Linked DNA regions of Macaca mulatta. The protein of the gene in region 1 purifies or fractionates together with the protein of each later gene. This does not show direct contact. Links are inferred from orthologs where the notes say so. Each region holds a gene or a part of one and is shown in the gene's direction. Other genes may lie near its edges. The genes, in order: NOP58, NUFIP1 and SNU13.

Region 1 (3,650 bases):
TACAGACAGGATTGCTGTCTCTACTGTTAATATACAGAGGAACTTGATTGGTTGATTTTTGTTAATGTGCAAAGGAACTTGATTGATTCATGGTTTACTTGACTTACAAATTACTGGCCCCAGCTTTAGTATAAAATTGTCTGTGACATTATTATTAGTCCTGTCTTTTTAAATTTTTGCTACTTATTTTCTGTAATAAGTTTTGTGGCATATTTTGTCTTGTTTTTACTCTGATTATTTTTTGGAGGAAGGTGTTGAGGAGACATTTCATGTCTAAACTTAAACCCTTAAATGAGGAAAACTATTATACTAGGTCAAACTTCTTCATTTTTTTGTTTTGTTTAGGCATCCTTTTCATTGGCTTTCTACTTTTTCTTTTGACTGTTTGCTGGATTTTATATAATTTGTTGAAGAGTGATTCTCCCTCATCCTCTGCAAACATTCCATAGGCGATAGGAAGAACTATGCCTCTGCCAAACTTTCTGAGTTGCTGCCGGAAGAAGTTGAAGCAGAAGTGAAAGCAGCTGCAGAGATATCAATGGGAACAGAGGTTTCAGAAGAAGATATTTGCAATATTCTGCATCTTTGCACCCAGGTAAATTTTACTTCTGGAGAATCTAGTTGTGGTGTTACCAGCTCTATAATGCTAATTTTTCTGATGGCAATGATGATTTACACTTACTGTTGTTCACCTGATAACATAAATATGAGGGTGTTCAGTCACTACCTCATCTGATGCCATCATGATTTGTATACTTAAAAGGGGGAAATACATATTAAAAGGAAGTAATTTACAATCATCGTCTGAATAATGAATTAACCAAAAATCAATTAAGACAGCAGAGAAGACGCTGGGCGTGTTGGCTCACGCCTGTAATCCCTGCACTTTGGGAGGCCAAAGTGAATCACCTGAGGTCAGGAGTTTGAGACCAGCCTGACCAATATAATGAAACCCCATCTCTGCTAAAAATACAAAAATTAGCTGTGCGTGGTGGCATGCACCTGTAATCCCAGCTACTCAGGAGGCTGAGACAGAATCGCTTGAACTAGGGAGGTAGAGGTTGCAGTGAGCCGAGATGGCACCATTGCATCCAACCTGGGCAAAAAGAGCAAAACTCCATCTCAAAAAAAAAAAACAAAAAGGATGGCAGAGAATTATGGATTGAGCTTTTTAATTCTGAGTTTTATGTCTATATCTTGTGATTTTTTTTTTTTTCTTTCAGATTTGAAGATAGTCATATGGGAATTAAAGAGAGCATGACACAAATGTTTATTGCTTAGAAACTTTTTTTTTTTTGGGAGACAGAGTCTCGCTCTATAGCCCAGGCTGGAGTGCAGTGGCACATTCTCAGGCTCATTGCTACCTCTACCTCCCAGGTCCCAGTTTAAGCGATTCTCCTGCCTCAGTCTCCCGAGTAGCTGGGATTACAGGCACGTGCCACCATGCCCAGCTAATTTTTTTATTTTTAGTAGAGATGGGGTTTCACATGTTGGCCAGGCTGGTCTTGAACTCCTGACCTTGTGATCCACCTGCCTCGACCTCCCAAAGTGCTGGAACTACAGGCGAGAGCCATTGGGCCTAGGAGCTGCTTAGCGCTTAAATTTTTTTTTTTTTTTTTTTTGAGACAGAGTCTCGCCTGTCTCCCAGGCTGGAGTGCAGTGGCACGATCTCAGCTCACTGCAAGCTCCGCCTCCCGGTTTCATGCCAGTCTCTTGCCTCAGCCTCCCGAGTAGCTGGGACTACAGGCGCCTGTCACCAGGCCTGGCTAGATTTTTTTTGTTTGTTTTGTTTTTGTTTTTGTTTTTTTGATTTTTTAGTAGAGACGGGGTTTCACCGTGTTAGCCAGGATGGTCTCAATCTCCTAACCTCATGATCCGCTCGCCTCGGCCTCCCAAAGTGCTGGGATTACAGGCATGAGCCACCGTGCCTGGCCTAGAATCTTCTAAAAGTACAGTTACATTTTCAGGCAGTGGACTAGGTAGTTTACATACATTACATAAGAAAGTCCTCACTACAGCCATTTTATAGAAAACTGATATTAGGATCACGACGTCACGAGATTGCACCACTGCACTCCAGCCTGGTGACAGAGCAAGACTCTGTCTCAAAAAACAAAAAGAAAACTGATGTTAGGCATAGTTGATGTACCCAGGGTTGTGTAGCTGCTCTTTCATGATTGAGGGCTCCAGTGTTTTAGACAGGAATTTTATACTGTTTTTACTCATGATATTTGTGACTCACTTTATTCCTTATACTAGGTGATTGAAATCTCTGAATATCGAACCCAGCTCTATGAATATCTGCAAAATCGAATGATGGCCATTGCACCCAATGTTACAGTCATGGTTGGGGAATTAGTTGGAGCACGGCTTATTGCTCATGCAGGTGATGGTTTTAATGTAGTTTGTAAATATGAGTGTTTGAAGTATTTTCTGGTTAGGATTTTGTTTACATCTTTAAACCACAGCTATTAAAGAAATTTTAGCTAATAACACAAAAGTAGATGGTATGTAGGAGATCACTAAGGGCCAGGTGTTCAATGATGATTTCTATTTGTTTGCCTGATTTCCTTTTGGATAATGAAGGCATCTTTAGTCACTACCTCTTCTGAGACACTTGTAGTCCATTGTTAGAAGTTTGTTATGGTTAATTAGAATAATCAGATGCATGCAGAAGGATAAAACAGTTAACATTTTCATAATAAAAACTCACTAGACCTAGATTTAAATACAGTTTTAAGAAATCACTGTAGAGGATTTATGCCCTCGATTGATTATCTTAGTTTCACTATTGAGTGTGCGGATGTAATATGTTTGACTTTGAAAAATATTTTCAACAACTGATTTATAATAAAACTTTGTATATGTGTATGGCAGTATTATAAGGATGATATGCTATAATTAAAATGCTATGTAATTGAATACCTACAAATACAATGAAGTGCTGATTCATCATTTTTATGTTACTTGGAGACATTGTTATAATCCATCAAAAAAGATCCCATATCATCTGCATCAGAGTGTTTAAAACAGCATAACTCCTTTTTTGTTTGTTGGTTTGAGACGGAGTTTCAGTCTGTTACACTGGCTGGAGTGCAGTGGCTCACTGCAACCTCCGCCTCCCGGGTTCAAGCAATTGTCCTGCCTCAGCCTCCTAAGTTGCTGGAATTACAGGCGTGCGCTGCCACCATGCCTGGCTAATTGTTACATTTTTAGTTGAGACAGGGTTTTTGCCATGTTGGCCAGGCTGGTCTCAAACACCTGACCTCAGGTGATCTGCCCACCTCGGCCTCCCAAAGTGTTGGGATTACAGGCATGAGCCACTGCGCCTGACCTGGCATATCCTTTAGCTGCATCATTAATCAAAGATTTCATTCAAGTGCCCTCAGCTATAAGATCAGATGATTTCATTGCCTCCACCCATTTTCATAGGTACAGCTAAACTTGTAGCAGTAAGCAATGGCAGGGGTTAATAGAAGTATGTGTTTGTTGGCCAGGCGTGGTGGCTTACACCTATAATCCCAACACTTTGAGAGGCTGAGGTGGGTGAATCACCTGAGGTCAGGAGTTCGAGGCCATCCTGGCCAACATCGTAAAATTCCATCTCTACTAATAACACAAAAATTAGCTGGCCTTGGTGGCGTGAGCCT
Region 2 (3,750 bases), on another chromosome or scaffold:
ATCCGCCCGCCTTGGCCTCCCAAAGTGCTGAGATTACAGGCTTGTGCCACCTCGCCCGGCTGGAAAGCATAATTTTCAAAATGGTTATAACAGAAATTAGATTGGAAAGGGGCCTGTAGTAGAAACATGACCTCCGGGTAGACCAGGAAGAAAAATTAGATTCAGAAATGGCAGGGCTACTCAGCTTTACTCTTCTCCAACTGGGTTGTCGGTGCTAGTCCACAAATGTGATAAACATTAAAGCAGATAGGTATGCATGGCGGAATCTGAGAAGCATTCGTTTCGTATATACAAAGTGCCTGTTGCGTGTTCAGGTAGAAGACCATAGTGCAATGGTGGGGACAGATTATGTCGACAAATTATTCAAATATAGTGTACCAAATATGCAATGTAATTAGGAAAAAACCCGAGGGCAAAAAGAAAGGCGTGACAATGCTTTGGGGAATCTGGAAAGGTTTTATTGGTATGACATTTAAGTTGGGCCTTGAAGGATAGGGAGATGTTTGTCAGTTATGTTTAGAAATGTAACCAGAGGAAGCCCAGAAGCCTAGAGCGTTAAGGAACTGCGCAGCAACTCAGGCTGGATTGAGTACTGGGCTGATGTGTCAGATGCAATAACAGAATTAGAGGCAAGGAAAGCAGGTCGGGGGCTGGAGAGAACAGGATCTGCAAGGTTCTTGTAAATCAGAAGGCAATATGGCACAGAGGTTAGGAGAAACGCTTCCTTCTAAGTCGCGCTCCATCACTTGCTAGCAGTATGATCTACGCTGGCATGGGCTTGGGCGTACCCATTTGCAACATGGGAAAATAGTCTTTTCCTTATACGGCTTAAATGACTGAATGGATATCAGTCAGTTAGGGCAGCGTGCAGTTTTTATTAAGCGCTAAATGAGAATGTATTATCATCACGAAGCCAAATCACGCAAAAGCTCGGTTTCTAGGAGGGTCCCCCAGCCTCCTCCCCACTGCTACCGTTAGGGAAAAAAAGTTCTCTCGGGTCGGGCCGCGCCCACTCCCCATTCCTCAGCCCTCCTAGGCCTCCGACTTTCTTCAGCGAGCAGGGCCGGCCCAGGGAGGGGGTAGATGGGCCTGGTGGGCAGCGGAGACGCAGCCGCTTACCAGGGCTCGGGTCCCGCTCTTCGTCCTCCGCTGTTCCGCGGGCCTTGAAGCCGGGCGGCAGGGCCGGTCCGATTAGGTCTCTTGCCATCCGCGGTGGCTGACACTGGTCACAGATACGAGTCTATCCACGAACGTCAAAACTACCCAAATGGAATCCCGCGATCAGCAGCAAAGAATGGAAGGTTTCCCGACGCCGACCAATGACGTAAGGCCTGTGGTTGGCTGAGCGGCGTAGTTCACCGTAAAGGAAGTGACGCCTAATGCTTGCTCCACAGTCGCGTGCTAGACTCCGGACCTTGCAGGTGGTATGGCTGAGCCGGCTAGTGATTTCGTGACTCCAACCGGGTGGCGTGCGTCTCCCGAGCTGACTCCCACGTTAGGGCCGCTGAGCGACACTGCCCCGCCACGGGACAGCTGGGTGTTCTGGGCAATGCTGCCGCCGCCGCCACCACCGCTTACGTCCTCGCTTCCCGCAGCCGGGTCAAAGCCTTCCTCTGAGTCGCAGCCCCCCATGGAGGCCCAGTCTCTTCCTGGGGCGCCGCCCCCCTTCGACGCTCAGATTCTTCCCGGGGCGCAACCCCCTTTCGACGCCCAGTCCCCTCTTGATTCTCAACCTCAACCCAACGGCCAACCTTGGAATTTCCACGCTTCGACATCATGGTATTGGAGACAGTCTTCTGATAGGTTTCCTCGGCATCAGAAGTCCTTCAACCCTCCAGGTAGGCTATTTTTCCACGTGGGTCAACCCCTTTACCTTTTTTCCCCGTTCTTTCCTCTCCCGTTTCTCCGTTTCCTCACTCCACTCTGCCTTGCCTCTGCACTCTTGGAGTCTGGTCATTAGTATCTCAAAATATATCTGATTGGAATGTTTTCCTGTTGCCTGTTAATTCCATTTAGCAGTTGTTTATTGAATTCCAACTATGTACCAGAATTTAGGTATATAGCAGTGAGCAGAACATACAAAAAATATTACGGAGCTTAATATTAATATCTCTCTTGTGTAGGAAGACAGACAATAAAATAAAATATTGTGCATTAGAAGGTTAAGAGTGCAGTGGAGAGAGATAAAACAAAGAAGAATGGTAAGTAGTGCAGGGTTTTCTTTTTTTTTTTCTTTTCTTTTCTTTTTTGGAGACAGAGCGCCTCTGTCGCCCGGGGTGGAGTGAAGAGTAGCGCGATCTACTTCACTCCAGCCTATGCAATCTGCAGAGAGGCTCACTGCAACCTCTGCCGGGTTCAAGCAATTCTCGTGCGTCAAACTCCCGAGTAGCTGGGACTACAGGCCCGCGCCACCACGCCTGGCTAATTTTTTGTATTTTTAGTAGAGATGGGGTTGCGCCGTGTTGGCCAGGCCTGTCTCGAACTCCTGAGCTCAGGCATCCGCCCGTTTCGGCCTCCCAGAGTGTTGGGATTACAGGCGTGAGCCACCGTGCCCGGCCGGGTAGTGCAGTTTTAAATATCATTGTTAGTCATAAGAAAGGTGACATATGAGCAAAGACTTCAGGGAGGTGAGGGATCACAGCCATGCATACATCTGGGAGAATAGGGGTATAGGCAGAAGGAACTGCAAGTGCAAAGGCCTTAAGGCTTAGAAGCTATACATCAAAATGGGAACCAGCGTGGCTACAGAGGACTGAGTCTGGAGTATAATTGTAGAAGATGGGGGAAGAGGGTAAGACCTGGTATATCTTTGTAGATCGTGGGACTCTGACTTTTACTGTTGTGAGGTGGGTAGTACAGGGGATTGACATGATCTGATTTACTTAAGAGGATTAATGTGTCTGTTGGTGGGAACTGACTGAAAGGGAAACCGGTTAGGAAGCTATTGTAATTACTTGTCTAAATGAGAGACACTGGAGACTTGGACCAAGGTGAAGCCCAAAGGATGGTGAGAAGTAGTTGGATTCTAGATCTAGGGATACCTTGGAGCTCTTGTGGGTTCAATTACAGACCACTGCAGTAAAGCAAGTCACACAATTTTTTTTTTTTTTTGGTTTTCCAGTGCATGTAAAAGTTATGTTTTCCTGCAGATCATATGGGGCAAAAAAGTTATTTTTACATTATACCACAGTCTATTAAGTGTGCAATACCATTATGTCTCAAAAAACAACTTACATACCTTGATTAAAAAATACTTTAGGCTGAGCAGGGTAACTCACACCTATAATCTCGGCACTTTATTTATTTCTGTTTTTAAATTTGTTGAGACAGAGTCTCTGTTGCTCAGGCTGGAGTGCAATGGCGCGATCTTGGCTCACTGCAACCTCCACCTCCAAGGTTCAAGTGATTCTCCTGCCTCAGCCTCCCGAGTAGCTGTTATTACAGGTGTCCACCACCAAGCCTGGCTAATTTTTGTATTTTTAGTAGAGACAAAGTTTCACCATGTTGGCCAGGCTGATCTCAAACTCCTGACCTCAAGCGATCCACCCTCCTTGGCCTCTGAAAGTGCTGGGATTACAAGCATGAGCCACTGCACCTAGCCTAATCTCAGCACTTTGAGAGGCAGAGACAAGAGGATTGCTTGAGCCCAGGAGTTTGAGACCTGCCTGGGCAACAAAGTGAGACCCCCGTCTCTACAAAAAAAATAAAATTAACCAGGCATAGTGGCATGCCTGTGGTCCCAGGTGCATG
Region 3 (3,750 bases), on another chromosome or scaffold:
CCCCATCCTCTGGAATGAAGAGATTAAGTTCCCTGAATGTGTGATGGGGTTATATAACCTGCAGTCTGCTTGATTTCTTTCTTCCTATGAGATACTTGGATCTGCCTGTCCTTCTATCTATTATCAAACATTTAATAAACACTGTATTGAATACAGGTATTATTGTTTAACCACTCAGCATCCCTTTCTCGTTGCTTGCAGTATCCTGATTTCCCATGGGGTAATTACTTTTCCCATCTTAGGATCAGTGTTGGTGGGAAAATAAATGCTACCCTGAAGACTCTTTTACCCAAAGGTTCTATTCAAAATAAATATCTGAGCAGGCAGGGACGTCAGCCAATCATAATGAGCCAGGACTTAACCGTTTAGTGGCTGAATTTTTTTTTTTTTCAGACCGAGTTTTGCTCTTGTTGCCCAGGCTGGAGTGCAATGGCGCAATCTCTGCTCACTGCAACTTCCGCCTCCCAGGTTCAAGCGATTCTCCCGCCTCAATCTGCCGAGTAGCTGGGATTACAGGCATGCGCCACCACCCTCGGCTAATTTTATATTTTTAGTAGAGACAGGGGTTTCTCCGTGTTGGTCAGGCTGGTCTCGAACTCTCAACCTCAGGTGATCCGCTCGCCTCAGCTTCCCAAAGTGCTGGGATCACAAGCGTGAGCCACCGCGCCCGGCCTTGTTTTGTTTTGTTTTGTTTTGTTTTGTTTTTTTGGTCTTTGAGTCTTGCTCTGTTGCCCCAGCAGGAGTGCTGGAGTGCAGTGGCACGATCTCAGCTCACTGCAGCCTCCACCTCCGGGGTTCAAGCGATTCTCCTGCTTCAGCCTCCCAAGTAGCTGAGTTTGCAGGCGCCCGCCACCACGCCTGGCTAATTTTTGTATTTTTAGTAGAGACGGGGTTTCGCCATGTTGGCCAGGCTGGTCTTGAACTCCTGTCCTCAAGTGATCCGCCCGCCTCGGCCTCCCAAAGTGCTAGGATTACAGGCATAAGCCACTGCGACCGACTGGTGGGTTATTTTTTGAATCTTTAATTCATTGTTTCTGCCAATAATTTGTACTGGACAGCTCATAAGAACGCCAAAGTACGTTCCTTCATCAACACAGAGCCAGTTTCCGCGCCAGTGCCCCGTAGGGGGCGGGGCCCGCTAGCTCGCTTGCGTAGCGTCATCTTTGCTTCCTGCCGCGCGGGGCCGTTTCCGCTGCTGCTTCAGTGAGTTTTTCCGGTGGAGGCGAACGCTGCTCAGAAGTCGGCTGCGCTCTCCTAGAAGTGCCGAGCCCGCGGAACAGCAGCCATGGTGAGTGCGTGCGCCGGCCAAGGGACCGGGAAGCAGGAGACTCGGGGTTGCGTTCACTCCCTGGCCTGTTAGATGAAGGCTTAGACCCTGCGCCGTCTCATCCGCCGGCGCTGGGTCTTAACCGCCGGGCCCTGAGTTAGAACTCCAGCAGCCGCGGGTTCCCAACAGCCTGGCCCGAGGTTAGAACTCGAGGTTAGAACTCAGGAAACCTCAGGGATCCCCGCTGCTGTGGTGCTTTGCCGCACGATCTGTTTGCGTGGCAGAAGGTCTGCGGCGAGCGGAGGGGGCATGGCCTAGCGGGAGAAAGAGACCAACCCACGTGGGAGAGGGCAAAAAGTTGGGTGAAGAAAATTTGGCTCCAACTTTTTTTTCCCCTTGTTTCTTTAAGTACGAAATCTACGATGGCGTGGGACCCTGGGATTCGGATCAACCTCTCCTACCCACCCTACCTCACCCCACCCCCGTTGCTGGGGTCCAGGAGATCTCCTGTGGGTGTGCGCCTAGTGCTCGCCGCGAGTCACACGCGCCAGGGACCTAGAGGAGACTTTGGCAATTGGGGGCTGTGGGGAACATGAAGTGAGCGCGACTCACGGCCTGGAGCGCAGGAAGGGCTTCTCCCGCAAGGTGGTGGCTTCAAAACCCAGAAGTCTGGTAGCACCACGTGCGGCGTCTCTGAATTCTTGGTCGTCTCTGACTTTTAAATATCTAGGGAAAGTTCTAAAACGTGTGTCCTGGCGTAGTCGTTTTGGTTGGCACTTGGTGAGGAGGGAAGAATTTGCAAAGCACTGTAACGTTTATAGTTAATCCTTCCAGCGGAGCTTGGATCCCGGCGGTAGCACTCCCCCCAAACCTCCTCCCATGCATTTTGAAGCTTAGTGCGTGGCTGAGCCTAGAACTCGAAGCTTTCAAACTCAGTGCTCGCTTTTATGCAGTTCCCTGAAACGTTTTGGAATCGGATGGTCTCAGGTTGAACTTTGCAGTTTTCCTCAACTGTAAAATGGGAATGACAGTGCATCAGGATGTTGTGAGGATCAGATGAAATAAAGCATGTTAAACATCTAGTCCTCATGCTTGGCACAGAGTGAGCACGCAGTATTTGTTGTCCAATCAAAACCTTGCAAGTTTTGGCTGTCTGGTGTACAGGGAAACCAAACTGATCACGCTAGGTACGGATTTAGGTTGGCTGGTGGTATGCTATCATTCATTAATTTATTTAACCTCTGAAGAAATTGAAAGGCGAATAAATACACCCTAAGCAAGTTTCAATTAGTGTTTATAAGCTAGGTAGTTTGGTTTTAAAATTGAGTTTAACTTTTTGTTTACTAATAGTGAAACATTTAGGTATTTGATGGCTGTTCAGATTCCTGAAGTTTTCCTCTTATGAATTTGATATTTATTGAGAGTTGAGGATCCTGATTTCCAGAGAATGGGTTGTTGGAAACAACAGCAATTTTAAAAGTTTTTTTAAATTGACATATCATAGTTGTATGTACTTTGGGGGTTCCACATAATATTTTTAAGTATATCTATTTTAAAATGTGGGACAGGGCCAGGCACGGTGCCTCATGCCTGTAATCCCAGCACTTTGGGAGGCCAAGGCGGGTGGATTATGGGGTCAGGAGTTCAAGACCTGCCTGGCCAACATAGTGAAACCCTGTCTACTAAAAATACAAAAAAATTAGCCAGGCGTGGTGGCGGGCACCTGTAATCCCAGCTCTTTGGGAGGCTGAGGCAAGGAGAATCGCTTGAACCTGGGAGGCAGAGGTTGCAGTGAGCCAAGATCGCGCCACTGCACTTCAGCCCGGGTGACAGTGTGAGACTCCGTCTCAAAAAATATAAATAAATAAAATAAAAGGTGATAAATTATTAACCAAAATTTCCAGCCGGGTACGGTGGCTCACACCTGTAATCCCAGCACTTTGGGAGGCCGAGGTGGGCGGATCATGAGGTCAAGAGTTCAAGACCAGCATGACCAACATGGTGAAACCCCATCTCTACTAAAAATACAAAAATTAGGCGGGCATGGCGGTGCATACCTGTAATCCCAGCTACTTAGGAGGCTGAGGCAGAAGAATCACTATATCCGGGGAGGCCGTGGTTGCAGTGAGCTGACATCGTGCCACTGCACTACAGCCTGGGTGACAAAGCAAGACTCTGTCCCAAAAAAAAAATAAAATCCCTACTGTAGTATCAAATAAAACATATTTGTATGGCCGGATGTGGTGGCTCACACCTTTAATCCCAGCACTTTGGGAGGCCGAGGCAGGTGGATCTCGACTCACTGAAACCTCTGTCTCCCGGGTTCAAGCGATTCTCCTGTCTCAGCCTCCCAAGTAGCTGGGATTACAGGCACGCACCACCACGCCCAGCTATTTTTTGTTTTTGTTTTTTAATAGAGACAGGGTTTTGCTGTGTTGGTCAGGCTGGTCTCAAACTCCTGACCTCAAGTAATCTGCCTGCCT

The links.
Region 2: the proteins of NOP58 (region 1) and NUFIP1 purify together in Homo sapiens (co-immunoprecipitation; 3 studies listed by BioGRID and IntAct, with this or other methods). This does not show direct contact. The link is inferred for Macaca mulatta from reciprocal best matches to the Homo sapiens genes NOP58 and NUFIP1.
Region 3: the proteins of NOP58 (region 1) and SNU13 fractionate together in Homo sapiens (co-fractionation; 3 studies listed by BioGRID and IntAct, with this or other methods). This does not show direct contact. The link is inferred for Macaca mulatta from reciprocal best matches to the Homo sapiens genes NOP58 and SNU13.

What each region holds. Positions count from the first base shown.
Region 1 is NC_133417.1:107,472,745-107,476,394, forward strand, and holds part of NOP58 (nucleolar protein 58), read left to right. Parts: intron 1-449; coding exon 450-595; intron 596-656; exon of another isoform or gene 657-744; intron 745-2,259; coding exon 2,260-2,386; intron 2,387-2,533; exon of another isoform or gene 2,534-2,617; intron 2,618-3,650. UniProt on the Homo sapiens protein: Required for the biogenesis of box C/D snoRNAs such as U3, U8 and U14 snoRNAs. Part of the small subunit (SSU) processome, first precursor of the small eukaryotic ribosomal subunit.
Region 2 is NC_133422.1:24,297,344-24,301,093, reverse strand, and holds the start of NUFIP1 (FMR1-interacting protein NUFIP1), read left to right. Parts: upstream 1-1,390; 5' UTR 1,391-1,426; coding exon 1,427-1,838; intron 1,839-3,750. UniProt on the Homo sapiens protein: Binds RNA.
Region 3 is NC_133415.1:9,821,613-9,825,362, forward strand, and holds the start of SNU13 (NHP2-like protein 1), read left to right. Parts: upstream 1-1,202; 5' UTR 1,203-1,285; coding exon of another isoform or gene 1,286-1,288; exon of another isoform or gene 1,289-2,976; intron 2,977-3,304; exon of another isoform or gene 3,305-3,554; intron 3,555-3,750.